2 linked regions of the Tribolium castaneum genome follow. The protein of the gene in region 1 interacts with the protein of each later gene in a pairwise test. Links are inferred from orthologs where the notes say so. Each region holds a gene or a part of one and is shown in the gene's direction. Other genes may lie near its edges. The genes, in order: prefoldin subunit 3 and Pfdn4.

What was found.
Region 2: the proteins of prefoldin subunit 3 (region 1) and Pfdn4 interact in binary tests that used the Homo sapiens proteins (3 or more experiments, as listed by UniProt). The link is inferred for Tribolium castaneum from reciprocal best matches to the Homo sapiens genes VBP1 and PFDN4.

What each region holds. Positions count from the first base shown.
Region 1 is NC_087397.1:4,266,955-4,283,268, reverse strand, and holds prefoldin subunit 3, read left to right. Parts: upstream 1-8,276; 5' UTR 8,277-8,336; coding exon 8,337-8,417; intron 8,418-8,496; coding exon 8,497-8,894; intron 8,895-8,938; coding exon 8,939-9,029; 3' UTR 9,030-9,237; downstream 9,238-16,314. Other genes in the region: Sobp (sine oculis-binding protein homolog), read right to left, coding at 1-775, 822-997, 3,316-3,448, 5,985-6,056; LYR motif-containing protein 2, read left to right, coding at 6,318-6,356, 6,402-6,620; S2P (membrane-bound transcription factor site-2 protease), read right to left, coding at 6,675-8,063, 8,108-8,182; c-Myc-binding protein homolog, read right to left, coding at 9,551-9,836, 9,884-10,005, 10,055-10,075; uncharacterized protein LOC656577, read left to right, coding at 10,733-11,665; Tango4 (pleiotropic regulator 1), read left to right, coding at 12,244-12,359, 12,412-12,769, 12,817-13,316, 13,364-13,565, 13,617-13,808; Tbcb (tubulin-folding cofactor B), read right to left, coding at 14,099-14,216, 14,264-14,480, 14,533-14,803, 14,857-14,976; probable ATP-dependent RNA helicase DDX10, read left to right, coding at 15,245-15,436, 15,483-16,300. UniProt on the Homo sapiens protein: Binds specifically to cytosolic chaperonin (c-CPN) and transfers target proteins to it. Binds to nascent polypeptide chain and promotes folding in an environment in which there are many competing pathways for nonnative proteins.
Region 2 is NC_087395.1:16,370,309-16,386,670, reverse strand, and holds Pfdn4 (probable prefoldin subunit 4), read left to right. Parts: upstream 1-10,545; 5' UTR 10,546-10,681; coding exon 10,682-11,086; 3' UTR 11,087-11,257; downstream 11,258-16,362. Other genes in the region: rut (Ca(2+)/calmodulin-responsive adenylate cyclase), read left to right, coding at 1,812-2,111, 2,161-2,489, 5,060-6,558, 6,756-6,882, 6,945-6,962, 7,020-7,257, 9,109-9,443; ARL14 effector protein, read left to right, coding at 11,642-12,091. UniProt on the Homo sapiens protein: Binds specifically to cytosolic chaperonin (c-CPN) and transfers target proteins to it. Binds to nascent polypeptide chain and promotes folding in an environment in which there are many competing pathways for nonnative proteins.

The sequences.
Region 1 (16,314 bases):
TATTTATTCCCGTGTTGTCTTCAACCTTCTCACTCACAATTTGACTAGAAATTAACTCTTCTCCCGTCTGACATGACGCATCTTGGGATTTCCCGCCATCGTCCCTAACTTTATTCAAGAGACCCTTTGGAAAAGGTAAAGGAATGGGAATGGGAATTGGAAGCGGTAGAGGCAGTATAAGAGGATAAGGAACCAAAATTGTAGGTGGTGGCACTAAATTATCCATCAATTTTCTATGGGCTGCAGCTTCGGAATTACAAAAATACTGTGTTTGGCTCAATCTGGAGGCCCCTTCTGGCTGTGTCTTATTAGCATCCTCTGAATTAAGTCTATTGGCTTCGAAATCAGTGGGGGTATGTCTTATCCGCAAATCCTGGGGCATATCACTCGAGAAAGTCTTATTCGTGCTAGTGCAGCTCGGCAAATTAACGTTTCTCTTTTTTTTCTTTTGTACTTTATTTCGGTGTCTTTTGGGCTCCGCTTCCTGCACTGACATCAGTTTGGAGGGATGTGCAACAGTGATCAGTGGCAAAGGCGACGTTTGTTGCGAGTTTTCCCCCAGTTTTGGGGATGAACTCGGCGACGAAACTTGCACTTCTGGCGACTTGCACTTGCTCATCCATAAATCGGGAGTGATCAGAGTCCCACTGGAGGACTCCTCCCCGTGGACGTGGGGGTGCATTTCAAGGTGGGCCCGCGTCTCGCGCCAGAAAATGTGCATCTTGTACTGATTTAAACATTTGTCGGAACAAAACTGCAACTGCGATGACCCGTCCTTAAATAAAAAATTGTAAACTTTGCTAGTGGTTTGAATTTACTACCTGGGAATCGACGTACGAAACCGTATGTCTGACGTGTCTGCACCAATCGCATGTCTTGTTTTTCTTGAAATTGGCCCTCCGTGACTGGGAGAAGCACAGCTCGGAACAGAATGTTGCAGCTGCTGAAGACAGGCCTGTGTTTTCGTCGACGGCTTTGCCGCACCATCCGCAACCCTCTGGAAGAGAGTTTTTGCCAGGAACTTAAATATTGTCAAAGCTTTTTATCAAAGGCGAATAAAATCAAAGTTCGATGATGAAAATATCGAAAACATAATCTAATTTGTCGAGGCTTTGAATATAAAAGCGGTAAAAGTGCACAAGGAGCTCCACATTGCGAATTGTAATTAAAACACGATCACAAAGTAAAGCAGGGACGCTCGTTTTTGGATTAAAAAATCACCATAGCAAAAAATGTTTTATTTAATTCTCTTATAGCTCAGACTTCTATCACGATGAATTATTTGCCTTAAAGCTGATCATTTTATTCTAAACTGAAAAAAGCATTTGGATGAGGCATAAATAATAACTTTCCGCATGACTGTTCTTCAGAGAGATTCTTACGGCTCATTAATTTTTCAAAATTATTACAGATAATAGCGATAACACATGTAATTCGATGAATATAAATAAAATTGCATAGACGTACGGATCCCATGTCGTTTGGGGTGATTTTGTTTAATTCACACTGTCTCATGATATTTTGTAAGTTAAAAGAAAAAAATGTTTTAAAGAGTAATTCTCTATTTTTCAACTTTCATAATACTAATTACCACATGATTTATTTAACAAAATAATGCTAAAAGCTTAAAATAATGTTTTATTTAAAATAATATTTATGGCCAAAATTGTAAAAATACTGGTTTGTTAGTGGAGTAAAAACCATTTTAACATTTTCAACCGGATATGTGATAATGAGCAAACAACAAACAAACAATATTTTCGAATTAGTTGCATTTGGAAGACTGTTTCCAGTTTATTCTCCATCGCTAAAAACTTAAATAGGTAACGGACAAGTTTTAGCAGTCCTAACTTTAATAGAAGGTTATAAACTCATTTAGTGTAGTTTAAAAATAAGTTGCAGTGTAGATAAGTGTTAAAGTTTTTAATTCGCGTGCCTAATATGTTGGGAGTAATTTCATCATGAGACTTTTCAGCCAACACAGTCCTCCTTGACCCCATTTCCCTCAAATTTCCCTTGTTTGAGCCAAAACGAGCATCAGCTCCGCCACTCTCACTCTTTTGCGTAGTACAGCAGCATTTTATTTAGCGATGAAAATAACTGCATAATTCGCCGCAAGGGTCGAATGCCGAAAGTGAGCAACTTCAAAGCCTAAGCAAATAAACCATTTCCCGGTTTAATTCTGGTAAAATCCCGCATAATGCGATGTTTTGATTCGGTCGCACGTGGCCAAAGATCAAATGAACCTTCCCTATACTATAACTCAAAGTTGGCGTAAAAGTGTGCAGGCTAATATTACACCGTCTCGAAATAGCCGCTCGGATTATCTTTCAGATGCGCCTCAAAGCGAAAAATTCCGCAACCCTTCGACACCCACCAAATGACGGGGGCATTTTTGATTAATTATAGCGACGGTGCTGGGCACTGTATTTCCGGGAACTCCACCCCTTGCAGCAAAGCCCAATGAAAGCTTTTCATCAATCTGATATTAATTGTGGACTTTAAAGCGTGAAGAAGGTTCGAAATATTTTGATTGGTATGGAATTCCACGAATAGCACACATGCTGAAGCATGGTTCGAGGAAATTATCGATAAAACTTATTCGCACAAAGGAAATTCGTTCAGCGGCTCACACAATGTGCCCTTTTTGCGCCCACCAACATGCATACAAGTCAGCTTCGTGCATTATACAGGTGTCACAAATGATTATGTTTTAGAAACTGCATGAGGTCCAGGAGTTATCACGAATATTGCAGTCACAAATTTTCATTTCATCGATAAATGTGGAAATGACAATTAGGGAGTTTCGATAACTCTGGGTGCATTCAATGCACGGTGAAAAACAAAATAATTGAATGGTCGGCGCATGTAATTTGAATATTCATAATTCTAACGAGGAATTTAATACTGATTAACATTCTTGTAATTACGATCATTGATTGAGCATAATGAGGTCTGATGAAATAAAACCTGGTTTTCGAAGTTTTTAAATTAAAAATTCGAGCTTTATTATTTCGCAATAATGTGGAAATAAAAACTAGCTGAAAATTTTCTTCCACCACAACATAGACAATCGTAAGTTTTTCAGGTGAAACAGAGCTGTATTTCTCATTAGAGCTTTTTCACGCGCAAAACGTAATAATTGAATCTAAGTATAACATAGCGAATTCAAACACCATTTGCGAAGTTTAAATTACAGCTTGAATTACGTTTACATTTTCAGCAGTTTTGTTGCAAGATTTTAGAAAATCATATTTATAAGCCCAGCTACTGAAAATGATGGTAATTTGACACATACATAAGTAAAGCAATTACCGTTGAATTTGGGAGACGGGGGTCCGGAGCTGTTGCTTCCGGAATGCGACTTGCAAGCACGTGCATCCCTGTGATTGTTATTGGCATATCCGTACCAGCCTAGGAGCTCATTCATGGCTGTTTCAGCAAATTCCTGCAACACATGAACAATGATTCCTTTACGAGAATTTTATCACCGGCAGATATCTTTAGAATTTGTTAATTAGCCTGGAAACATTTTCGTGTTATTACTAATAAAATCTTATCAAGGAAAAAAATCCATAAAACATTGCCATCTCGTGACAAAGCAGCGATTAAAACGGAATTTTATTCCACACTCGTCGGAATAACATAGCTGTTTCTTAAAATGCAAAACAGGAGGGTGTCTGCTTGCTTATTTTAATTAAACGAAGTGGTTATTAATAGTCGGAGTTACCCGATGCTCGTCTAAGAGAAGGCGAAATAAAACACCCTGGTTTCATTCCTGCAGATCATGTTCGCACTCTACATGCAGTTTTAATATAAGGAGTTGTTGCAGTTTGTGAAAACGATAGTCTCTCCATCTCGAGAACAAACGCCACTTCGAGGCGAATCAACTTCACCAGGTGCGAACCGACGGCACGGGCCTACGGCCAAAAATTTAACTTTTTTTCCTAAATTCCAGTCTCAATTATAGGTGAAATAACAGGAAGTTAGATGCACCTGGTGAATACCTAAAAAATCGTAACTTAAAGTAAGTAAAGTGAAAACTATGCAGTTGCTGAAGCCGAGAAATTCAATCCGTTGGAACGGAAGGGTAATTAATTCATAAATTTATTACGATCTAGAAAATACATATCTATGGCTTTCATGGCGTAATTTTTAGACCCTTGTGTAATAGCGATTAGATTTATTCAGCTAATGTAGTTGTACGAGTACATAATGCACATATAGGTGTAGCCTGATGGAAACAGGATACCCACCTCTGCGGAGGAGTTAAAGAGACGAAGAGGGCGTAGCTGGTTCAGCGTAGTAAACAGACACCGTGGTGTCAACTTTCAAAATGTCTCTAATTATACAGACAGAACAGTTTTGCCGCCAAAGAGTTCGCCTATTGAAATGTTAGCGGCGAATCCACCAAAAGTAACATTAGAACGAAAATGAGATAAAACCGAACGAAAAATATTTGAACACGTTATTAATGGATTTTTATTTTACTGATTCATAATGGTATTTCGGAACCTGAAATCCGATATTTGCACAGATTTATTAATTGAAAGATCGGATTGATTTTCAAACATACTAATTTGCAAAATACGGTGTTACATAAACAAAATTTGAGGGGGTTTAGTTTCGATCTAATAAATACAGGAATTATGTTACTTGAATAACTAAAAGCCTTTGGACAGATGTATATGCCTTCCAATTAACAAATAACAGTTAATAACCGCAAACGTGCTGCGATTTTGCCTCTGACCTTTTCTACGATAATTACTTCGTATTTTTTTTTAAATCATTTTGAAAATGTTACTACCTGATGATAGTATCGATCTTAAATATGCTCTTGTAACTTAATCTTTCCTCTACTCGATTCTATCTCTTTTCTCGACACTTTAAACCAATTTGGATCTATTATACCAGATGAACCCAGTTTTGCTATGTATGGAAATAATTACAGAAGCTTTTACAAATACGTATTACAAACAAAATATTGATAGAAAAAAATTACATTTTTCCAACTCCCACGATTTGTTTTTAGAAAAATATTTGAGAAAAAAAAATTAAAAAAAAGATTCAAGAATGGATTGACAGAGAGATATGTTTATATGTGCCCTAGTTTTTTGTAAGCCAATTTATAAGATTTGTTATAATAAATATAAAGAAGCAAAATTGTTAAATATATCAAACAGACCACCTTCGGAGCTTGATGTACGTTTAGGGAACATACGAATTTTTTTTTATTAATTCATGATTGTTCCATAGTCTGTCTCTGAAGGCTCCACTATTTTTTTGCAACAACTGAATGAATAACATAAAATATAATTAATAAAGATTTTTAGTTAGTAGGTTCCAAACACAATTTAGTTTTTTTTGTATTTGAATTTGAACTTTGAAAAATTGATTCCGGTAATAATGGCATTGCTAAACTGGTAGCAGTGTGGGTAACTTGAGGTGAAGCGGCGATTGGGATCCTTGTAAAGGAAAAATGTTTATTTGGCCAGCTCTAATGATGGGTAATTGTTTAAATAAAGGTTATTTGCTTGTCTGTTAGCCGCTTAAATTAAAATAATAAACATGTTTTGAGAAGTATGATTTGTAGAGCATCAACGGAATATCCAGCGAGATGCAAGGATATAAAATAACGTGTATTTACGATGTCTGGCTGATGGGTATCAGTTGCACGCCATCTGCCATTTGATACCCCCATATCAGGTATCGCGTTCATGTTACACATCCATGTTAGGCCCGTGCTCAAGCCTACAACGCATTTAAATTTTAACACAATCGACACGAAAAATAATCAAAACGCTCAAGAAAAAAATATAAATAAAATGTATATTTATGATATTATATCGGATACATTCTGGCCCCCTCTTTCCCGAACGAACACATCAACAATGACGAAATCTATTTTTAAATCGACATTGTAAATCTGTATGCTTTTAAAATAAACCAGACTTGTTAATTAAACATCGCAAAATTGAACCCACCTTTATATCATCGTTAAGCACTTCCTTTTTAATCGTAACTTTCGCAATTTCTTCGGCGCCACTTTTTTCCATAAATGAAAACCAAATGTGCAAAAAGGCCAAAACCAAAAATTCAAAACGCACTACTGACTCAATAAATGACGGACAAAATCACTTTTCACATTAATACTGCGCCACTAGGAAAATTTCGATGAGAACTACAAGCTGAGCTTTTCAATAATGTTGTGATTATTTTGGTACTCGAAGTGGGGTATTCCCGCCACACTTTCAAATTCAAAACGCGCAAGTCTACCAAATGCGCAAGCGCACCAAAACCAACCCCAAAATTGTGTAATGTCCAAAATTGCAAAACCCGCCCTTAGCTTGAAACACGTAATCGGTTTCATATCCAAATCTTGAATAATTCCTATATTTTAGTTTATCTTGAAACAAGAAGTTAAGAATCTTTACAGGAAAATCTTCAGGGCTATACGGCAAGTGCCCGATCAGGGGCACCAGCAGGAGCTGAAGGAATGGGCAAGACGTGATTTCAGGAGCAACGCTCATCACACGGATGAGATAACTATTAAAATGTACATCAAGTACGGGGAAAGGTGTTTAAAGGAACTGGAAAATACCATTTCTTTGGCAAAATAGGTTGTGATTGAAATGAATACACTTGTTAGATAAAAAACGGTTTTATTCAACAATTTAATTAAGTCTAGTCCATATGACAATAACGCAGTGAATCACTAACAAGAGTGTGAAAGAAGCGGTCACAACGCCTGAAATAATCTTGATATGAGTGGTCCTCAAATGACTCGCGAATATTATGTGGAACAAAGTGTTCGTTATGTGCTGGCCGTCCATAAACAGACAGGGCAAGATATTAACTAGAGCCAGCCCCATTGAAAACATAGCTAAATACCCTAGAAATTTGGTAGTAACATCGGGAATTCGCGTCCCTAAAAACGAATATTTTGGGACGTATGAGGACACCGTCACTGTCCTCACAAGATCAGACACGGGCCCAATGTAGATAACGTCGTTTTTGTTGACTCGCTTGATTTTAAACAAATTCGTGTTATTCGTTAAAATCGGTCTGAAACAATAAGTATCTTTGGGGCAAACATGGGGGTCAGATATGCAGAAATTTGTCGAGGCTTCGATCGCAGGTCTTCCAGGCAAACAGGCGTAAGGGGGCAGCTCCAAAATGCTGTCTTTACTATCCAAGTACTCAAAACACAATTTGCCTTTATTCTCTGAATGGCAGCAGCTTACAATCCCACTTTCGGAGTGTTTCAAATGAACGCTCTCATCCAGATCGCGCACAACGTCGCCCTCAATACAAAACGCGGGCTTTTTTGTGCGTAAAGCCACTAAACATTTGTACCACGCATTTTCATCGTCCACCTCACAATCATTAATTTTCAAAATTAAATCGCCAACATTTAAACCCCTATTTCCGAAAATTGGCGATTTTGCCTCAAATTCCGTTACCACAACTCCTTTACCAAAGTTGAAAAACGGTGAAAAAACGGACGGTAGAGAAGTGTAGAGTAAGTAAGCTACGAGTGCAATTAGCAAGTTGTGCCAAACTCCGGCGCACAAAATCTTGAGTCTTTTCCAAGGATTTAGAGAAAATAATTTGTCGGAATTTAAGTTAACGTAAGCCACTGGCAAAATAAAAATTACGTTGGCGCCCACATTGATCACATTTACGTCTTCTTGCACAGCCCCTAACGCATGGCCTAGCTCGTGCAAAACCGAACTGATTAGCAAAGTTAAACTGTAGTAACCCATTTCGGATGCTGGAAGGTTTATTCCCGGGACTACCGGCTGAATTATGCTTTCCTCGCCACTTGCCGAAGACAAAAAGTTTTGGAAGAAAGCCACTAACAATAGGTAGATCGAAGCAGGCAGCAAAACTAAACTCACACATAGCCCCAAATTAAACCACAAATTAAGAAATTTCGTGTTGTGACTGCCCCACTTAAGCAGCAATTTATTAAAGGCTGTCGTGGTCCACGAAAACTGGAACAATTTGATCTCCAGGCCCGTTCCTTTAAGAAATTGGATGTATCCGTAATGAGAACATGACTAAAATTGTGGTTTTTAAGGGCACTAAACGTGTTCCGACTTACTTTAAAAAACCTGTCCATGAAGAGAACCCATAAGTAAATCGCCGCTATTGTCATTAAGCCAAAAATCAAGTCCATTTTTAAGTTTTTAACTCATTTTTCAAAAAATTATTAAATTTCCTAACCCCACATAATAGAGTGGTGGCTACCAACGCAACGAATTGATAAAATAAAAACCACCAAACTTTCAATTGTTTAGTCGGTGGAGTGGGTAAATTTTGCAAAAACTAGAATGGAACAGTCAGAATCGGAAAATAACACAGAACTGGGAGACAAAAAGTCCTACGCTGGAATCCCCGAAGCCGAATTTGTCGTAAGTGTCGAAACCCCGTCCACATGTTTTTCGAAAAAACGTAACCTCAATCCCGACCTTATGATTTTTCCTGTCTCAGGAAGATGTGGATGCGTACATGGCGCGGCCCGAAAACAACAAAAACGTGGAAGAAGTGTTGAAAAAATTAGATAACCAACATGCCAAGTATAAGTTTATGGAATATAATTTATTGTCGAAGAAAAAACGGCTCCAGAACCAAGTCCCCGAGCTGAAGCGTTCGTTAACGATGATTGAGAAACTAGGCGAACAGAAAAACGAATTCGAGACTCAGTTTTTGCTCAGCGAACAGGTTTTCGCCAAAGCTAAAGTGCCACCAACTGAGACGGTGTTCCTGTGGCTGGGGGCCAATGTCATGCTTGAATATAGTTTAAAAGATGCTCAGGAGCTGCTCACGCAGAATATTGCTGCAGCTACTAAGAATTTAAAATATGTGGAACACGATCTCGACTTTTTGAGGTAACGCTTTGTTGGGGTTTACTTTAGGCTGAGTCAATTTTCAGGGATCAGTTTACGACAACCGAGGTCAATATGGCGAGAGTGTTCAACTGGGACGTGAAGAGACGCCAAGCTGCGAAAGCAGCGGCAAAATGAGGCTCCAAGTGACCATTTAGCACTGTTTTAATTTTGTTACAAGATCTGTCACTGCTGCTTTATATCGTCCAGTTTTGCAAAATATATTTTCGCGCTCGCACTTTTACAGTGCATGTAAATCACATGTTACTTCCAGCTTGAGCATTTAATAACTTAGCTTTTATTTAACCCGTTTCTGTGAATAAAACTATTTCTAATAAGGAAATAACTTTAATTGCTAATAAACACAGACTGTTTCTTCAAACTTCTTTTGCCAAGTGCATAAAATTTTATAAATGAAAAAATAATACTGCAAATAACAGTCCACATAATATTCAATATACGAACATAAAAGTGCTTCTCAAAAATGGTAGTTAAGGCATCACCTGAATTAATTTACAGGTTGAGTTAAGTACAATGTGAAGACCGACTAAAGTCTTAAAATTTCACAATTCTAAAACAAACTAAAAATTAATTCATAAAAGGAACAAAAATAAAATTCTAAAAATAAAAAACAATGTATAATATGGCAAAGAGGAGCATCACTGGTCGGCGTTTTCTGGAGGCTGTTCAGCTGGGGCCTCTTCAGAGGGCGCCGCCGCGGCCGCTGCCTCCTCCGGCGGGTTCTCGTCGCCCCCAGTTGGCTCAAAACCTTCCTCCAAGGGAGCGCCTTCCTCGTCAGCCGGAGCTGGAGGCTCCATACTGATCCTCAGCTCCTCCAACTCTTGGTTGAGAGCCTCAACGCGGGCCTGGTACTCATCTATCTTCGTTTTCATTTGAGCGAAGGTCTCGATCCCTGCTTGCATGGCCAAGCGGTCCCGAATGTACCTAAATAAAAAAATCAAACTCCTGGCAAAACATTGTGCAATAGTCACTCTAAAGCATCTTCGGGTTTCTCAGGCTCCTCGTAAAGATTGACGAGGACCTTGGTTAAGGCATCCATAACCCCATTCTTCTCCAGGTACTTACGGAACTCCTCGCGTTTTCCCTCGGACGGCTAGTGGGAAAAGTTGAGGTTAAAGGGTAAGTCGGGGCGGATAACTTGCCTTGAAAGTTGGATTCGACATTTCGCAAAACAGCTAAATAAATGGGTGGTTGTACACGTGTAAATCACAAGATTTGGACGAATTTGTGGCTCGCAACCGTTCAAGTATCAAGTTTTGGGTGAGCTTTGACACTGTGTGGGTAAAATGACAAATTAGGAGCTGTCACAACACCTTTCAACGGGTTAATTAACAAATTTACGGAAATTATAAAATAAAACGCTGAAAACAGCGTTTTCGTCAACAACACAAATTCAAAGAAACTTCGTTAACTGGGAACGTTCGCGGTTATTAGGTTGCTGGCATTGGGCAACTGGTTACTCGATGTGCGGCGCCGGGTTTAAAACATTCCTCAATTTATTGATTTAACAATTTATGCAAGCTTTACGAGGACCATTTTAATTAAATTAATGTTTTACACCAGTTTCTGAATAAAATAAGTTGGTGTCTTGTTGTAAAACTCTTAATTAATTTATTATTAATACCTAACAGATGTCACTGGGTCACGTAACGTCAAAAAAGTGACAGTTGTTGGTAAATAAAATGTTGCAAATAAGTGTATTTTTCTTTTGATCTGTTATGTTTGGACAACTCAGCACCCGTAAGTAACTGGGGGAAGTACACAAATGTAGTTCTTACGTAACAGTTCTTAGAAACACGTCAAGACCCCAGTTGTAAAAAATGACAAAAATCAGTGAAATCAGCCGAAATTCGTCTGCAAGCCTTTCCGACGATGACGAGGAGACAAGAGTGCGCAAATTTGCAAAACACATGCTCAAGAGCTCCCTATTTATCGGTACGTTTCTGGAAAAAAGGCTGGTTGAACCTTTGAACTCGTACCGCGATGTAATTAAAATATGCGACGATGAACACGACCTTATTGCGAATTTAAAAGCAGTGAGGAAGCGCTGCTTGAAGCATTTTACCAAAAATGTGTGGATTGGTATCACGGAGCCGAAAACAATCGGGGCCCCGGCAGGTTACAATTTGTGGGTGAGTCTGGACGAAGAGGTTTTTGGGAGTTTTTGGTACAAAATCAAAAACGTTGAATTCTTCCACAATGAAGTTAGAGTCAAGCTTGAAGTTGTGAGGCCAGTCAGAGAGAAGACTCCAGTTCATAATATAACTCCCACTCAGATTTTTGAAGACGTTTCTCAGAAGAATTTGGGTGAATTGGGTGCAAAATTTCAGGAGTTTTTCAAGGATCAGTTGAGGAACTTGTTTACTGAAACCTTGACTTGGCCCAACATTAAACAAGCCACCATATTTATGGTTCTTTTGTTATCAACACTGATCACTTTCTTGATACACACCATCAAGTACCTTCTAGACTATCTCCTGAAACTTTTGCGTGAAACGCAAGGACTTATCAGGGTTTGCACCCCAATTATTGTCAACTTTATGACTTTAATTTCGAATACCATTTGTGGATTTTATTCTTTATTGGCGGTTTTGTGGCGAAATCGGTCACCACCAATCAATCAATTACACATATCTCCGTATGATGTACCATATTATAGAAGTAATATGAGGGCATTACCTTACCAGGCAGGAGACTTTCAAAGGTATCGCAAATCTCGCGGATCTTCAGTCAAGATCACTCCGTTGGATTAAGTTTCTTTGCATTATATAATTCTGTTTGCATTTTTAATCACATCGCTGCAAAGTGGGGCACTAGGCAAAGCTACTTTATTGTAGTCGACTCACAATGTAAATAATTTGTGTAATATTGCTTTTATCTGGGCTCAGGAATGTTGACATTGGGACTTGTACAGATAAAAACTAGATGCGTTTTGTGGTCAAAAAACTATGTATTTTATTGTAGACTTAATAACGAAATATTTATAAGTGAAACAACTCGTATCTATTTTTATAATTGTTGAAAAATACAAATGTTAAAAAAATTGGCGTGCTTTTATTTTGTGACCAAAACTACCCAAATAAGAAATTCAATTCAATTTGGTATGGAAATTAACTATTTTTTGGTTAAAAAAAAAAAAAACTCAAACTCCCTCCACGGTTGAGTCAATAGTAGTTTCTTTTCCTGTCTATTCTACGAACCAAAAGTTACCAAATGGTGGATTTGGTGATTTTTTGCAGAGAGGTTAAGTACGATTTTGTTTATTTACCCGAAGATTAATTACTAGTATTACAATTCAGTAAATATCCGGAGTTAAATACTCGTCTTCACAATGACCGAAGACGTGCAGAGACACTCCGTACATACGTTAGTATTCCGTTCCTTGAAACGGTCTCACGACATGTTTCTCTCAAACCAGGGACTACTGCCATCAGTGGACGAAAAAGCGTGAGTAACAAACCACAAAAACAAGCAGCCCTTAATATTACGAATTAAATAGCGAAATGGTGCGAAAAGCCATAAAAGCCCGTGACTTGTACGGCCTAGTCTTTGACGACGTTAAGAAAATGCAAGCTATGAAGCACTTACGGGAGGCAGAAGCTGGGCCAAACCCCCCACCACCGGGCACACGCACTGACGACGCGGCCCCAAACACCGAGGGGGCTGTTGTACCGTACACTGACACAAGTTTGATGACACGAAGCGTCCAAAATAACACACAAAACCAGCTCGCCAATTTAATGAAAAAAGTCCCCACAATGCCAAAGCCGAAATGGCACGCCCCTTGGAAGCTATACAGGGTGATTGCGGGGCATTTGGGGTGGGTCAGGTGTGTTTCGGTGGAGCCAGGAAATGAGGTATAAAATTTTTGTTGGCAGCAAATTTGTTACCGTTTTTTTGTTAGTGGTTTGCGACCGGCGCAGCGGACCGAATAATAAAAATCTGGGACCTGGCAAGTGGGCAGTTGAAAGTGTCCCTAACTGGGCATGTGAGCACGGTCAGAGGGTTGGCTGTGAGCAGTAGACACCCTTATTTGTTCAGTTGCGGTGAAGACAGACAGGTCAAGTGTTGGGATTTGGAGTACAACAAAGTCATTAGACATTACCATGGCCATTTATCGGCTGTATACTCTCTAGCGCTTCACCCCACAATCGATGTTTTATTAACAGCAGGGCGTGATTCAACAGCCCGGGTTTGGGACATGAGGACGAAAGCAAATGTTCACACTTTGACCGGCCACACGCATACTGTAGCTAGCGTGGTGGCGCAAGCCTCCGAACCTCAAGTTATCACAGGATCTCATGATACCACAATCAGATTATGGGACCTGGCAGCTGGGAAATCAATTTGTACGCTTACCAATCACAAAAAGAGCGTTAGAGATGTGATTCTCCACCCGACTTTGTACGATTGTTTAATTATTTTTTTTGTAATTATTTTATTATTTGTAGGAACATGTTCGCGTCGGGCTCACCCGATAACATAAAACAGTGGAAATGTCCTGACGGGAAATTCATACAGAATTTGTCCGGTCATAATGCTATTGTTAATTGTCTCGCTGTCAATCCAGAAGGCGTCCTGGTTTCAGGGGGCGATAATGGAACTTTACATTTCTGGGATTGGAGGACCGGTTACAATTTCCAAAGATTACAAGTAATTTTTGTAACTTTGAAGGAAGTCAATCGATTAATGTTACATTTTTAGGCCCCAGTACAACCTGGGTCAATGGACAGTGAAGCTGGAATATTCTCAATGATTTTCGACAATTCTGGCTCAAGATTAATCACAACTGAAGCTGACAAGACCATCAAAATCTACAAAGAGGATGAAACTGCGACTGAAGAAACGCATCCGATTAACTGGAAACCCGATATTTTGAAACGGAGGAAATTCTAATTCTATGATTAAAATAATTTGTATTTTTATAAAAATAATAAATAAAATTTTATGAGCTACTAAAAAGTTTTAATTTTACCCAACTTTGCATTATTTATCAAATTTTCCGAAAATTAATCAAACCATTTGACATTTCTAGACCATTAATAATCGCAGAAGTGCACAAAACTTACGATTTTCTAGATGTAAAATCGTGAGGGTAAAGGTTAAAATGCTCTACGATAAATAATTTTTAATTTGATAAAAACAATAAATTAATTCGTTTGCGAATTTGGAATGCTTGTTACCAATCATATTTCCTCGTTCAAGTCGTAATCTTCCTCAGGGAAGTCGCCACATTCAACGTTGTGTGGCTTAACAAAGGCGCCATAATTATTAGCACATTCAAAATATTTCTTGCCTTTAAATCTGCAACAAAAGCTAGAATTTTTTTTCAACTGATGGTCGTAACTTACGTTCCATCGTTTTTGCCCAAAGGTTCGTCATACTTGACCCCTATCCAATATCCAGGTAAGGTCTCAACAGGCCCTGTGTACATCACAGTGCCAAGTCTGCAGGGAGCATTGGCTACAGTAACTTTGCATCTTGAACCAATTGGCGTGCTTTCTGCCAGTTGTTTTTCCTCTGACATTTGCTTTTCTTTCTTTTTTATATTCTCCTCGTTATATTGCCCTGAAAATTTACAATTTATTCTGGAAAATCTTGGGTTTTGGTGGCAATTTACCCATTTTATTTTTCATTAAAAATGCCTTGACTGAATCTGTCTTTTTATTGTACTCTTCCTCGGGTAACTCATATTTAGGCACATCTCCAAAATCAAGCTCATTGCGTATATTAAACTGGTCAATCACGTGTAGTCTCATTCCATCGTCCAAGGGATAAGAACCAAGCAAAGCCTCATTGTTTGAAAGTGAACAAATGTGCTTATTATCCTTGTTGTACGCTTCAATTTGCATCGTATTGCAATTGCCTCCTGTTATTAACTCGAGTTTTGCCTGAAATATTGAAGTTGCGATCCGACTTCGTCAGAAAATGCAAAAATTTGTACCTTTAGGTCCGATATGGTTATGTCCTTAGGAAATCGCTTTTCTTCAAACGAAACATCGTCTTTCGAAGTGCTTATGTGAAGTCTCACAAAATCAGATGTAATTACTTTAAAATCGGCCATACCGCATGAATAATCAACAAAATTCAATTTGAAAAATGTGAAAAATGACTAATAATTTTTTTGTTTTCTGGTGTCAGGGTAGACAACCAATCCAACCAAAAATTAATATTGGTTCGATATTTTTAATACAAATAATACGTAATAAATTAGCCCAAACTAATTTAACTGCATATAAATTAGAAATTTATCGTTTGAGCAAACATCAAGGCAAATAAATCAATATAAACAGAAAACATATTTCAGAAGTTATGTCCTCACGTTGGTTATCATGTTTGTCAAGCATGCTAACCTCGCTTTTACATGTGTTCTTTTTGCATTGATTAGCATAATGTCTAAAAAACCCCCAAAACAGTCGAATAAATCGAAAGGCAAGGCCAAAATAAAAATTTTCAACAATAGGAAGAAAGCAACGACTCCGGAATCGGCTGCTATTGAGAAGCTTCAAGAAAAATACGAAGCTGTAAGTCTGTATGCTGCTTGATCTTGGTCACCAACCGTGTTTTCAGATTGATGTTTCTACCATTAATAGTTTCGATGACTTACCTTTATCCCCAAAGACTCTAAAAGGGCTTAAAGAATGTGGTTACACAAAACCTACGGACATTCAAAGAGAAACCATAAAATTGGGTCTCACGGGGAAAGACATTCTAGGGGCGGCTCAGACTGGTTCTGGCAAAACCCTCGCGTTTCTTATCCCGATTCTGGAACGCTTGTATTGCAAACAATGGACGCGACTGGACGGTCTTGGAGCCTTAGTCATCACGCCAACGAGAGAGTTGGCTTATCAGATTTTTGAGGAATTGCGACGGGTTGGGGAACACCACGAATTTTCCGCGGGTTTAATTATCGGAGGCAAAGACTTAAAATTTGAGAGGAATCGAATGGATCAGTGTAATATTGTGATTGGTACACCGGGCCGAATTTTACAACACATGGATGAAAACCCGCTGTTTGATTGCGTAAATATGGAAATACTGGTCTTGGATGAAGCTGATAGGTGTCTAGATATGGGTTTTGAACAAACCATGAACGCAATTGTCGCGAATTTGCCAGCAAAGCGTCAAACTTTGCTGTTCTCAGCCACGCAAACTAAATCAGTGAGAGACTTGGCGCGTTTGAGTTTGAAAAATCCTGCGTATGTCTCCGTGCACGAACACAGCGAATATAGCACTCCTAAAGGACTGCAACAGAGCTATGTTGTCTGTGAGCTCAAAGACAAAGTTTCGATTTTGTGGAGTTTTATCAAAAATCACTTGAAGCAGAAGAGTATCATTTTTCTTGCGAGCTGTAAAGAAGTTAAATATGTCTACGAAATATTTTGCAGGTTGGTTTTTTCAA
Region 2 (16,362 bases), on another chromosome or scaffold:
CTTTTTTACGAAAATCAGTTTGGATTTCAAAGAGATAAATCCACTGTTGATGCTATCCTTTATTTAACTGGCATTGATGGGTTTTGAACAAAAGAATTATGTTGGATAAATATTTTGCGACCTATAGAAGGCTTTTTTAGATTGTGTTGGCTACAAAAAGTTGCTGTTAAATTATCTAACACTTTTGCATTTACCAATAAAAGCGTACAACTTATGCTAAGCTTCTTAAATGATCGGTATGAAATATATAAAATTATAAACTCGCTGTCTTATAGGACAAAAATAACAAGAGGGGTACCCCACAGGGTTCTGTATTAGGACCAGTTCTTTTTCTTATGTACCATGAGATCGAAAATATTCTGAATTAGAGCAAGTTGTGTCTACGGAAATTTAGGCACTATTTTAGTTTTTGGTTTTACACAGCATAAAATGTGGCTAAGGTTACACTTCACTTTCAAGGCTTGCTCTAATTCAGTATATTTTCGATCTCATGATATATCAACAATGTAAATGATGATTTCCCAGAGGTAAACATAACATTATTTTCTGGCGACAGCACTCTATGTAAACAATTAAACAATCTTGAGGTCCTTAAGCAGGAATTATGCCAAATACATGACAAAGCTCGTGTAGTATGTAATTATGTTTTTTTTACTGGTAATTTATTTTGCTTATTTAAAGCACGCAGTAGCGTGTTTTTTAAGTGTCCATGGCAACATCAATAACCCAAAAAACGTGAAATGGCAACTTTTTAATGATATTTTTTTTTATAATAATGACAATCAATTCCATGACAACGAATAGTATACTGGTCTCACATTACATTATTTACATTATTTCAAATTTTTGTTATATTAATATCAGTATTTCTGATTTCAAAGTTTATAAAAAATAACGTAAAGTATTCAGCGATAACTGGTCTTTAAAACACTTACTTTGTTTCGAGCACTCCGGCTACGCCGTCGTATTTTAAAAATCTCAATATGCACTTATACTTTAATATACTATTAAATACACTTCGTAATATAAATTTTGAAATCCCAGAAAAAATAAAATTCTTAGGTGTTAATAGACATTAAAAAAATTCAAATAACTGCACAGGTCATGTTAAGCAACTATTACATAAAATATCCAAAAGTATTTTATTGTTACGATGCTTAGAAAAAATTAATTCTCAACAAGTCTTAAAAAATGAACGTCATGTTTTAATAATATAATATGCCTCCTGCGCTATATTATGTTGGGGACATGCTCTTTCTGCTAGTAAAATTTTTCGTCTACTACAAAAAACATTAAGAATAATTAGTAGAGTGCCTTATAGGGATGATGTAAGATCAAAATTTAAGGAATTAAATATTTTATCACTACTCAGTTTGTATATCTTTTATTATCTTCTTTATATTAAAAGAAATGAGTATAAATATGGACTAGTAAAGAGTTCACATGATCATAACACCAGATCTGGTGAAAAAATTTGATATTAAATTTATGAGATTAACTAGAAGCAGAGATTGTGTAAGTTAATACGGTCCGTTTTTTTTTAAAGCGTACCCGATAGGATCGCTTCACTTCCTACTAGAAAATTTAAAAGGACGGTGAAAACATTTTTTTTAAACAAGGACAAATACTAAGTTATTATTATATAATTATTATTAATAAAATTTAAAATTGAATAAAAGAAACCATTGTGTTTATTTTTCTTAAAAATTTTCTTAAAAATTCCATTTCAAATTTTGCGTTCACACAGCTCCTCTTCACACGTTCTCAGTATTGTTCAACCTTAACGTTAAAATGCACTCGTACAATTGCAGGGATCAATATCGGCCCCGTGGTGGCCGGCGTGATCGGCGCCCGGAAGCCCCAGTACGACATTTGGGGCAACACAGTGAACGTGGCCAGTCGTATGGATTCCACAGGCTTGCCAAACCACACCCAAGTCACCGAGGAAGTTTACCAAGTGCTCAAATCCTACCCTTACGAGTTCCAATGCCGCGGAAAGGTCAAAGTCAAAGGAAAGGGCGACATGACCACCTACTTCCTCATCGATCGGAAGCAGCCGGGGACGCTCCGTGTGGAAGAGCTCAACAGTTTGCGCTCCAACTCCACGTCGAGTAAGTGTTCAGTCTGCGGTCGGCGGCAGGTTTGAGCGACTTTTCGCAGATACGAGCAACATGTACGGGGGCGTCGCCACCCCTTTGGCCCTCCTGCACCACAGCGAGATGAACGGGCGGACGAAGCATCCGCAGCTGCAGACGAGGTCGAGCTCGAGGGAGGACAGCTACAGCGGGGTTAGGAATGCAATGAGGTTGCCGCCGCTCAGGGAGGCGCCGCATAGAGACCATGGGAATAACGGCTGTGAGAATGAGCCTTTACTGCCGGCTGGGGGGTGCAAAAGGAACGGGAAGAAGGTGCAAGAGGAGAATTTGCCGCCGCCACCGCTGCCGCCACATAAAAATTCCTATCAGCAAGTGCAGAGGCAGTCGTCACAGGTATTTGCAATAAAAGTGACTCATTTCGTCATTGTTTATTTAAAATGTTGTTTTGCGTCATGCAGTAAAATGTACCGAGTGAAATTTTTATCTGGCGACTATAATAATTAAATAATCATTCCAGATTACTAGCAAAAATGCTAAAACAACTCAGTGTTTCCTGTTGATTTTTTTTGACAAAATACAGGTGTTATTTGTGGAGTATTTCTGATTTTTTGGATTAAACAAAGAAAAAACAATTTCCAGCTTTGACTGCGTTATTAAATAAAATAAAAATTAATTGGCGAGTGCGTGATTTTAAGTATGTATTGACAATTTTGTTTTAACATGGCCTGTTAGGTACTATTACTAGGTAATCAAACGAAAAAGTGAGCGTGTTCGTAATTATACTATAATTTAGATTCATTTTTTTATGAAACGTAATGTAGGTAGTATTTTTGGTTGCATCTAAAAAAAATCTATAATATACCATAATTGACTCACCCTATATCTTACATTTTGTTTAAAAGAAAGAAGTAAGTGTGACAAAATGATTATAAAGGAAATATGTCATATGTTATTTTTTCTACTTTGTCCTCTTTTTAACAAAAAATAAATTTAAGAATCTAGGGCAGGATGAACTAAACAGTGATTATTAGAAAACCAAAGGAATAAAGGAATTATTGGTTTGTAAAATAAAATACAAAATAAAACACAAAAAGAATTCTCACTTTGCGATAAATAAAAAAAAATAAAATGGATATACTTTTAGGAATCTTCTTATGCAACAGTTTGTTGCAGTACATTAAAAATAAATTTAAAATAATATTTCAATAATAGCATATATTGAACATCTCACTTCGGGATGAAAAAAATGTACTTACAATGTGCCATTAAATTAATTAAAAATATTAGATTTAATATAATTTTTCTACAACGGAAGTACTCTCTGGAAATCCATCCTAGTAGCACACACTAACACTCACTAGCCAACGAATTTGAGACTTTTAAACCACAAAATTCTGATTTTATTTATGAGGCCGTTCGCGACCACAGCAGGTAACAAACTGAATAAAATTAAACGGCTCGACAATAATTCTTGTGTAAGAATATGGATAAAGCGTCACCAATAAAAAATAATCTTTGAGATAACTAATAGTTTTAAGGTTTGTCTATTTCAATGATCTTGTTACGACAGCGCCTCTTAACGTTTTTTTGGGGTAGATTTTTAAGGTCCAGTCGCTGAAATTCATTTCTTGAACAACTAAATTCAAACAAAACATTTTTGCAAAATTTTTAAGTATTATCAACTTCGTTATTCTAATTAAAGATATAAAATTGAAACGAAGCTAATTTTTAACGAGTAATAAGTAATATAGGCATCAATTTTTTCAATTATTTGTATAAGGACCATCTTTTAATTTTTTCCAAGTGATAGTGATAGATTGAACAGATGGTATTACGAGTTTATAAATAAACGCCCTGGAGCTCCTTAATTTTCCCACCCCTATCTGAGATTTCTTCAAAAGAAAAAAAAACATTGGTTAATTCCAAACTCTGAAAAAGGACAATTGTTATTGACAGGGGCACATGGGACATTTGTTGTCATACTTTGTTGATTTGTAAAAACAAATCAGTAAAAAATATATAATTTGCTTATAAAAACTTTATGAATTTTATCAGTTGATTTTCTTTAAACTCAGTAATACCCTTAATTTTTTTCAATCACTACAAATGCAAGATAGTTCTTAAAATTAAGTTAATAAACCTGAAAAAGTTTTTTCTAAAGTCACCAAACTTAAGAAGTTTTTCTTTTTCAAAAAACGTAGCCACTTATACAGTTTTTCCTATAATCTTACATTATCGCTGACTTTTTTCAAAGACCTTTTTTTGTATTGTGTGCTTTTTCTACTACTACTCTTCCCAAATTTTCTATAATATATTCTGAAACTCTTAAAACTATTTAGAATGACGTACTTTGGTTACGTCGTAATTGTTTAACTCGTCCAATATCTACATTTCTTACACTTAACAAAGAAAAATGCTATAAAAAATAATAATAAAGTTTAAACCAATGCGTAATAATTACCTTTTTCTACACATTTCATTCAATCTTTAGTTTGAAATCGGGAAATTTTATTTATCTTATTTATTCAGAACACGGTAATAATTAGTTTAGATTTTTGCTTAACTGTCCAATACTATGTGCTTTACGCTATTTTTAAAAAGTAACCCTATTGGATTGGTATTTTATTTTCTTGGGGTTGGTGAAACCGACCCCTAGTAAATGATCGTAGTAAGTTTGGTGACTTATCTTATACATCGAAAGGTTTGATGTGTTTTTTGTCAAATTGAACATTGGGACTATGCTCAGAGTTAAAAAAATGTCCCTGTTAAACAAACTATCAGCAAGGCTATGGATTTTTTGACACAATATTAGTTTATAGTCACTCGGTATAACTATCTATTATGGCACCGTTTTTTTTGTTACGCAAAACGATTTCGTACTACTTTTCAACGGAAAGTTTATTTTAAGTAGACGCTAGCTTTTCCCCTCGCAAATTCTCTTTCCTCCTAGCGTACTTTTGCAGGACATGCGCTACACCCCCCCGTGGCCTCGAGCTCCGAATCCCTACTCTGCAATACCAGCGCGACCATCTGAGAACATCAAACCCTACCTCAAACCGCTCCCCAAGCCCCCAGGCAAGGAGTCCCCGAACCGCCACCACCGAAAACATCACAACGGCGGCTCCGGCGGCCCTGTCCCACCCCCTCATCAAATCCTCACACCTCTCCCACATCAAAACATCCCAGAGCGCACCCCCGAACTCCTCCGTAACAAAATCCAAACCCGACACAACCCCCTTCAAAACAGACACAGTCCGTTGCACTCGCGCCACAGCCCCCACTCCAACCGACACAGCCCTCTGCAGCGACACTACTCGGACGAGAGTCTAGGGGGGCTGTACACCACGGGCGTCCCCCAGCGCATCCACTCGTCGGCCGACGAGATCAGCTCCTTGAACCACTCGCCCAGCATCAGCAGCTCGGACGAGAGCTACAGCAGGACAACGGACGCTGATGCCTCCCCCTGTGTGTCTCCGCCACTTCCTGCAGACACTCAACAGTTCCTATTCCCGTCGGATATTCAAGTTAATCCGTGTTCGTCACCGGAGGTGTCGCCAAGAGCGTCACTGGACTATATCCCAGCGAATTGTTCCTTGAGGAACAGTTCGAGTGATCGGAACAACACTAAGCGGAATAATCTACCACCGAATGCGGTCCTGGCTCTTGCTGGGACTTGTAACACCGTTGATTCGTCGATTGTGACAAGTCCGCCGGTTCTCGACGGCGAAGACAGTTGTAAAGGGGAGAGTTGTGCCAGTTTTGAGTTTGTGACTCGACCAAAAACCAAACCAACTTCACTGTTAAGAGCAAATAGCGCCAACGGTGCGGTTTCAAAACTTCCAATCAAGCAGAAAAGTCTCGATAAGCGGATACGGAACGACAGCGATTCGGTCCTGGAGTGCAACAAACTGGCGGCAAACTGCAAAAGGTCCCCTAGTTTCAAAGAGGCGGAAGAAATCCGCGAGCTACTCAAGGAGGACGAAACGCGTAACCTTGGCGAAAAGAGTTTGAAGAAAGACGGCTGTTGTCAGACGGATAAAAAGGACCTGAGACGGTTCAAGACTTCACCGTCCGGCTTCCGCGACAAGATTTCCCCCAATAACAAGGTGAACAACACCGAGAACGAGAACCTGATTGGTCCGTTTGAGCGCGAGATCCAGAAACTGCTCGACGAGCAGAACCTCCTCCAGAACATCCCTCCAAAGTTCGAGCTGAACCAGCAGAACAAAGACCTGGCTTTGGAGCCGCTTGTAAGGTACGCTCCAAACAATAACAACCACCAGGTGGGGCTTGCGGCGATCCAGGCCCTAGCTCTAGGCTTGAGAGTGAATCCCACCGGCAGTGTTACCCTCCAGTGCATGTCCCCTCCCAGAGCAAGCAGCAAAGAGGGATCGCTTAAGCGGGGAGCGTCCCCAGGACCGTCCGAATCCCATAAACAGCCAAAAGTGTCGCCTCTTGACAGGTACAGGAACACTAACATCGTGTCTCATTTTAGCCTCACTCAGCTTCATTAACACTCATGCTGCTTGCTCGCACTTCATGCTTTGTCACGTACATTTCTGGCACAGGTCGAGCCTATTCGAGATTTTACGTTCCACTGGGACGCAAAATCTCGAATAAGGTGTCCTATTGCGAAAATAATTTTTCTGGTGTTGGTAGAGCTCCGAAGTCGGCTGAGGAAGCCGATGTTGACTGTGATATGCCGGAAGTTCACAAGAGAGACGACGACACTGATCTTGAGAGCTTCGAGCGCGAGGAGCAACGCATGGAGGAAGAAGCAGCAAGGGTGAGTCACTCGGTAAATTTGCTGAATTTGTTTGATTTTAAAATGGTGATTGTGGCAAGCAGCCTGTGGACCGAGAGTTGGTAAAATCTTCAATGTTTAACAATTACCTAAACAATTTGTATCAATCGCGCTTACAGGAGGAGGAAGTTAAGAGACTGTTGGAGGAGAAAGTGCAAGAAAAGTTGAGGAATTTGGAAAATGGGGGTTTGGAGAGTCAAGGGGCGGAGGGAAGCCAGTCGGAGTGGTCGGAGGATGAGGACGGGGGGGCTTCTGAGCCACTTTTGAATGATAGGGAATCGACGGGGTATACCACGGATGATCCAGCGCTGGAGAATATTTCGATGATTAACGAAACTGGACTCACGGATGCTGAAGGTGAGTCAGGTATTTCCACCAGCACAAGTTAGCAAACATTTTTTGGAAGCAAAAAATCAGTACCAATTTCCGCTGCGAATACGGTTTAAGATAAAAAACAAGCATTATTTCAAAATTCTTTGAGCTTGTCCTTCCAAAAGAAAATATGAGCGCAATTTCGAGTACTTAATCATTTTTGGATAAAATATTGACAGTTTATTCAAAAATAGATAGGCTTATTGACATTGAATATCAACTGATTAATGTAAAATGACGAGCTTGCAAAAGTAACAAGTAATTTTTAACAAATTTTAAAAGAACTACAACGTTTGATGGATAGATTATTTAAAAGTGCAGTGAAACATTAGATTTATATGAAGAATCATGCTTTTTATATTAGAAAGACGTTTGAATTGACTTATCTTTTGTGAATTATCTGGGACCTTTACATAATTATTCAGAATAAGGAGGATAAAATTTTATTTTATGAAACATTTACATATTATTTACGATACCACAAATTATTAAATCATGTTCATCATAAGACAAACCCTGGCCAAATAATCTGTTCTTTGTACATGCAGAATGACACAAAAACTTTGGTCCGTGTATTGGTTTATCTAGGAAAAAACCTATGATGAGATCAGTTGCTAACAGATTCGAAGATATTTTGATTTTAGCACAATGTAATATTATTAAATTATTATTAAATATTAAAAATAAAATTTCGAGCTATCAACTGAAACAGTCACTCTAAATGACCGTGTAGATATGTGGAATTTTTTGAGGAGAAAATAAATTCTTCTTTAACATTTATGCCCAGTTGAAAAAATACATAAAAGTCGTCCAGTTTCTTAGCGTCCACTCCCTAGTGTAAATTCCTAAAATTTCGCCGGTGTAACGTGCAAAATTGTTCAAAGAGCGACATACACTAGAGAATTACACCCAAATTACACTAGGAAATAAAAGTGTTCTATTATACCTACTTTAACTTAAGAATTAAGATTTTAAAAAACAACAACAAACTCTTGGGTTTACCGTAAACTTATGAGTATAAATTTATTATTACTTTTTTATTTTGGTACACCTGTTCTATTAGGTACTATACGAATATGTTGAATAAAGTATTAGTTGACTTGACTTGGTGGAAAACAACGATAGAAACGTTTATTTTTCTTATTTATTTATTTCTTTATTATTTTTTCTCATGATATAATCAGAAAATACGCCACGTGCTGTACGAAAAATTTGTTCCATTAAAGAGATTGTGGTATAGGCAAAATTTTGTGTCGTAGTTCATACATTTTTTAACATAATTTATAAAAAAAAGTCAATAAAAGATTTTCTTAGAAACCAGAAGCGTCTCGTCTGGTCTGAACTGAGGAAAAATGAATTATTTTTGTCAAAATCACTATGCTTTAGCTCAAGATAAGAGTAATTTTCTCAGAAATAACTGAAGGAAACTACTTTTTGATTCAAAATTAATTGAGATATTTTTATATTACAACTTGACCAATTTAAAATGTATTTATTTTCTATTACTTTTATTACTTGTACATCGAATGCCGTGTCCTTATTTCACTTTTGTTTCTATAATTAATTTAGTGTATGTCTTGCTGCCAGCTCTAATAATTCTTTTTGCAAAAAAAAGGCTTGTTTTTTACAATACTTTAATTGGCACAGTCAGTAGGTTCGTACGTTTTAACGTTTAATCTGGAGTTTTGTTTTTATCAGCCTTTCTATTAATGAAAAATACTACTTCACAAGCTTCTAAAAGCAAAATTATCCGCAGTGTTTTGTCAAGTTTGAATTTAACTTTATCTGAACTTGTGGGTGCAGCAAGAGAAAATAATTTGTTGGTGTACTTTCAAGGCGCCCTGAGCGACGTGAACTCTGCTTATAACGACCACAACCACGAGGGCGACATGGACGACAACACCAGCATGTCGTCGCGCGCCTCCTCGCGCATCTTCGACTCGGACGCGATGATGTCTCTGGATTCTCTAAGTGCTCTCTATGACTCCGAATACGACAATTGCTATCGAACTGATGACGATCTAAATGCAGTACCTGACCTCGACAGACTTAACTATTTTTCAGTGCCTGCGAATGACGTTCATCTCGCAAATATCCGATCAATGAGTGAGAGTATTACTAGAAACTTTGGACAGCCTCGAAGTGAAACGGATCCAGATAGTGATGTTTAGGGACTAAAATTTTCTATGATTTGGTGAATAGACGATATTAATCTGAATGTACTATATTTGATTAGAGATGCGTTTACAAGATCGGAGGGTGATTATCTCGTTAGATGGTTTTGATCAAAACTTTTTCGTATTTTGGTTGATATTAGACTAGATCGCAATGGTGCTTCTAGCGCGAAGGGACTGATACTTTGTGATTTTTTATTAGGCAGCTTTCTACCAAGCTGGATATCACCCACGTAGTTGGTTTTAACCAAAGAATGCAATTTTTTACATTAGTGATATCTTTGTTGTGTATTGAATGATGATTTTATTACTTAACGGGAAATAGTGGCTCAACAATTTGTATAAATCTTGCTAATGGCGTCTCTTATGTATATAATCCTGTTTTAGTTGATTTTATTTATTTATGGAACATATTTTATTTGTTACCATCGTGGATGCAATATTTTGTATTTAATTATATAGTTTATATCATTAGTAATTCTAAATTACTGGTGTACTTAAATTGAGTTTTACACTTTCTTTCTCTCTTACGTACGACTTTTGTTACAGGATACATCAGATGTATTATTTGTTAATTCCATCTTAAACCGGATTTATAATGGAATTTTCTTTCTGTGATCACCATTTCTAAATGTAGCACTGAATATATTGGTGGTTTGTAAATATTTCTATTTTCTTCGAATATCCGATCTTGGTGTTTATTATTATTGTTGTTCTCTTTGTATTTCCTATTTTCTGTAACTATATTTTCTACTATTATCTGTAAAGACTAAAATTTGATCATAATATGTGTTGGAAAATTTTTAATGATTTATTAAATGCTTATAAAAGTAAACTAAATACATTATCAAAACTGCGTTTTTTTTTACTTCCTTCGGCAAAGTGACTCTGTCCGGTTCTGTCTTGTACCTTATGCCCTGTTCGGTGCACTTTTCTAAGCTTGTCAAGTTTTCCACAATTTGAAGTAACTTAAAAAAACTGTTGAATTAAATACAAAAATAAACAACTGATTACAAAACCCTCAAAAAATATTTTCACGATGTGTAACTAATTTAAATTTAGCCGGTTTAAACTTCGCAAATTACAGAAACCTGTAAATTATTTAATCTGTCAATTTGTCGTAACCTAACCTTATTTTTTGCATCTGATTTCCATTAAGTGTATCACAAGAAATTACATTTATAAACCTTTTATCTAGCTTTGAAGGGAAACAAATCCATTAGAAACTAATACAAATGGCGGGGAGCAAAGGCACATTTCAGCCGGATTCTGACGTCCACATTTCCTACGAAGACCAGCAAAAAATTAACAAATTTGCACGTTTGAATGCCAAACTTGAAGACCTTAAAGAAGAAGTTAAGGTGAAAGAGAACGATCTGAAAAGTTTGGAAGAAGCATGTGACGAAATTGCGTTATTTGATGAAGAGGAGAAAATTCCTTATTTGGTAGGGGAAGTATTTATCCTGCAAGACACTGAAACCACACAGCAGTGCCTCGATGATGCTAAGAAGAAAATTGATCAGGACATCAAGGAATTGAAAAGCCAATCAGATGATGTAAAAAGCCAAATGAGCGACTTGAAATCACATCTTTACGGAAAATTTGGAAGCCATATTAATTTAGAAGCTGAAGAGGAATAAATTATTTATGCGGAACGTTTTGGTATTTATTTAGAAATTTCACGCCTAATATTACTAATTTGTGACATTATTTCAACTGTTGCTTGACATTTTGTCACTTTACTGTCATTCCCATGTTGCCAGTAAAGATTTTTGTGTAATAACGATTGTAATAAAATATGAATTAACAAATGTTGTTTCTTATTTTTTCTGTATTTTCATAAAAACCATCGTTTTTTTCGTAAAATTTGTGGCGTTTAATTTTTCCGCCTGACTGTAAGACAGCCATTTTGATTTTGTCAAGAAGACGCGAATTGTTTTTTATCTTGTGAATTATAATATCTACAATTAAACACTAATTTTCTGCTTAATCTGTTAGTGACCTAACACAAATATTTCAATAATTCAATTTTTTAGTCACCCCTTCATCAATTTACGTATTAGATACGTGTACACCGGACTTCGCGCCAATTTGACAAAACAATTGTCAACTGTCTCGTTTTTTGAGGTTATGCTGTATTTTTTCGAATTCAATTTTACAAGAAAAACTTTTAAAAAATAGTCACAACCGAAACAATGAGCAGTGAAAGCAGCGAAGAGGATGAGCCCCGGCCGTCCCTCCACCGAGTGGCAAAAAAATCGACGTCCAACCCCAAACCCTACCCCAGCCGTATCAGAACCCCCGGGTCCCAGAAAACTCTGACGGTAGCCAACCGATTTTTGGAAAATTTTAATCCTGAGACTAGCATTCGCGAGAAACGGAAATTGAATCGCAAAATCAATCCGCCAAGCAACGTTCGGAGGCCACCAGGGGCTCTCTATGACGAGAATGGAATCCACATCGCCACTTGCATTGATCTTTGCGATTGCTTGAGTGAAGAGTGCGTGGGATGCTTTCTCCCATGCCCCAAATGTGGCTCAAGGAAATGCGGAATTGACTGCCGTGTCCATAGGAAATATGTCTATGATCAGCTTGAGTACCATGGGTACGATATTGTGGTGAAGAATCCCTTATTTAGGAATTGAGCTTTATGGGTTTCGGTGATTATGATTGAGAATTAGCGAATTTTGTAATATCGTTCATATCAAATTTATTGTCAGTGATTTCGTCTATATTTTGTATTTTATTTGTGTTCTTTAAAATGTTGTATTCTATTGACTACATTATAATAGTTAATAAATAATAATAAACTTATGTTGCAGTTTTATTTACCCTATGTTTGAATGTTATGGTATAGTTGTGATACATATACAGAAACAATTTTTTATAGTCACCCGGTAGAAATTTATTTAAACTAAAAATTAACATAAATAATTTCTTTGGTACTAAAACTCAACGTTTAGGCATTTTCAAAAGTGGCTACAATTTTTACATTTTCGTTAAAATTTCGCTTACCGTCGTTTTGACACTTAACGCATGACATCAAGTCAACAACATTTAATTGGTTGGTTTGCCTCTACAAATCACAGTAGTACTCGGTCGATTTGAAATTGGTAAAATCTCCCCATTTAAAGCAATTTCACATTTTTTACAATAAATAAAAATTGTTTTACTGATTTGTTTCAAAGTTTTTTGTATAAACAAAAAAATCTTTTATAAAATAAATAAAGCAACTTCACCCCAAACCTTTAGTTAAAAAAATCGACCGATTTATTCATTATAGGCGACAAGTATATTTGCATATTTTTTTAAAGTAAACCATTGGTTGAAAAATAAGTAAAATACAAAATTTAATTTCCTTGTACTGATCTAAGGGAATAATCACCTTCCGAAGACTAAAGTTTTCTTTGCATTTTATTTATTTAATACTTACTCCACTTTTCAGCACTATGTATCTCATGAAATGATTCTCAAGAAATGTAGGTAAGAAACTGGTGTAATGTGTAATTATTATGCACAAAATAGTAATTACGGCAAAGCCAATTAAGCAGGTGTGTTAAAATGCAAATAAGTAAACAGTTTAATTGAGCAAAAAACATAATTTTTGTCACGTGTCACTTTTTTACTACATTCTGATTTAACCAAAATAACAAATTATTTTCCTCCATTTTGATTTATTCTTCACTTTTATTGTATAAACAAAAATATTACTGTTATCAAAATACCACACACGTCTAGAACTCATCAAGGCGGGCGGAACATTTTCCTTTCATATAATTCATAAATAATTCTTATCTTTCGTTAATGCATTAACGGTTTTTAATTTAACGTTTTGATCCCAAGAAACCACTATAAACAAGTTAAAAAGTAGAAGCGTGAGAAGAACGTAATGTGGTGGGATTCGACAGCTACTTAAAAATAAACAATAGATTATAAAACAAACACTCGGCTCCGCCAACGAGTTTAAATGCAATTTAAATTAATTTTCTCCTCAATACATTATACCAGGACAGGAAGAAAAATTAAATTTTCTTCATGAAATGCAACTTCGATCCTCACAAATTTTAAATTTATGTGAAGCATGAAACTGTGTTATTGTTGAAGGGTTTCCATAACGACGCTTTCTATGGGTCGAAGTTGATTGCCAGAAGTGACAAAAACCCGCATTTTCTTGTGCTTATTTCTTATTTGCAAAGCTTTTAATTATTGTTAAATAATCATCAGTTAAAGAATCTAATTTCATATCTAAACCTATTTTCAGGATGATAACTGGAGGTAAGAATGAAACAAAATAGTTGTGTATTTTACACCGTTTTATTCCCTGTAGACGCAAAAGTGAGGAAAAGCCTCGAAATAAATATAATTTTTGTGTTAAGAAATTGGACTTTGAACATCATGAATTTAGTACCAATAGGATGAGTCTTATCGACGAAACTACACTTTTAATTTTTTATTTATTTATAATTAAATAAATGTATGTAGGTACATGTAAATGGTTAAAATAGGTAGGTTTTAAAATGCTCTTATCGAATCCGTCCTAAATTAGAAATAAGTAGGTATGACTTCATAGGTAATTTTAAAATTTTAATGTAAGTATCAATTAGAATTAATTAACTTAAATGCATATTGCCTACACACAGATAGATACATTAACGATTTTATGAAAGTCCCAATGATTTAGTTACTTTTACGAGCACTTTTATAAAAAAAAATATTAATCTGAATTCAGCACTAAATTATCGGTTTTGCTTTACAGGAAGCCATAAGCGGTAGTAATATAATAGGGGTAGCTTATTATGTCACATTAAGAAGCTTACAGATTTAAAGACCGTAAAATTTATTCCCTGCTCTCATTACCTATAACTCTTAAAGACATAATTAGTAATTAAACTAGCGCTTGGATCGAGACTTGATAGCAGTGTGCAAGATATGATTTTCAATGAAGCGTAAAACTTTAACGAAATACTAAGTAATAAGAATAAGTAAAATAGTGATCTGTTTTTCCTGTAACTATATGCTATACTATAATTAGAAATTATTATTGTAGTAGTTAAAATTAGGATGCAATGTGATACGTTTTAGGAAACTTTCGTTATGTACTTTGTAGGCGGAATTTTTTTCCAGAAATGGTTGTAAATTAAATTAGCTGTAAGACAATTAATGTAGTAACAAAAAAATTGTCTTTCCACCTTTTTCATCTCTAATGTTATAATTTTTAATTTTTGCATTAAGGCAATCCCTATGCAGCGTCAGATTCTAAAATTATGTACAATAGGCACACTTTGAGACATTCCTTTTTGTGATACTGTGTGTCCCAATGAGTTGGTAAAGTCCACTGCTGACCTTTAGATCTTAAAAAACACAGTGCTGTTCAAAAATTTGTGACATTAACACTAATTAATTGTTGGTAATTGTTATTACACCATGATAGTGATAATCATCCACCACGAATCACTTATTACGTCTGAAGTTTATTCAATGATTGTACAAACCATCAGAAATATTTAAATTACAAATGTTTTATTGTGGAAATTATGAATAATGGATTAAGCGTAGCACTGTCCAGTGTCCAGCTAGAAGATTAGGTACATTTTTTGTTTACTGAAGCAAGAACGAGAAAGAAGTTTTTTTTTCATTATTTCAAATTAAAAATAACTCGCTTGTTTACAATAACAAATCTGTAGTTATGTTTTTAAAAGGATCACAGTTCAATAATCGTTCAAATGTAAAAAAGTAGATTTTACGATTTTGGCTCAGTTTTGGTATTTTGTTTTTTTATAGTTGTGAGTGACCTTAATAGATGTCAATTTATAAAAAATAAATTTATAAAAATAATTTATAATAAAATAAAAAAACACCCAGGACTTCGTGGAAGCTCCGTAACTTTTTTTCTATGCAAGATATTGACTTCATTTTTTAGATACGTCTGACAATAGGCACCTTCTAAAAATATTTCAGTTTGTATACAGATTGTTCTAAAATAAAGTACACAACTAAGTTTTGTTTTCTAACGAAAATTCCAAATTTTTGTAACATTTTTGAAATCGCGACTTGATTGTCGATAAACGAACCCAGGTTTCTTAGACCTGTCTCTCATAGAGTTTGACATATGACAATAAATACCGTCGTTCATAGAAAAAATGTATAATAGACAGACAGAAAAATGTATAATAACTTCAGAACCATTCAAAACATCATAACCAACTTTTTTCAATCAATTTCTTAAGCTTTAGTACATCTTTGATAATAGTTGCAAAATTGGAGTCGATATCTCCTGGCCTACTACGATTAACTAACAAATTACAAATGGCAATAACGAGATTTTTTCAAATGCAGTACCACATTTTAAAATAAAGTTTGTGGGGTTTAAAATTTGTAAAATTATTGTAAAATAAAAAAAGTGATGTTTTTTTCGGAAAAAAAATCAAGTAGGCCATTGTCCCAAGATTTATCATTTCTATACAATTCAGAAAACATTCTGTTCAACAAATTGTAAATTGTAATAGAAACAGGGGTATATAACAAAGGAAAAAAATAGTAGTCTTTACTACTACTAGTACTACTACTACTACTAGTTTGATAGTTTTACATAGTTCCCTGTCAATCATACTTCCCTGTTATTATAAAGGCTTTTAAAATTCTTTCCTTTGTGGTGTACTTCTGTTTCTATACCTACAATTCACAATTTATTGAAAGATATTGTTTTTAGAATGGTATGGAGGTGTTCACAAATTTTACAAGTAGACCCCACAGCCCCATCGATAAAAAGATCATAAAAACCTCATGTAATTAATGATGTTTTAAAATATAAAATTAAAAAAAATCGAGTGATAGCCATTTGTAGTTTGTCAATTTCAGAAAATCGTAGTAGGCGATGGAATATCGACTCCAAGTTCGCATTTATTGTAAAAGATGC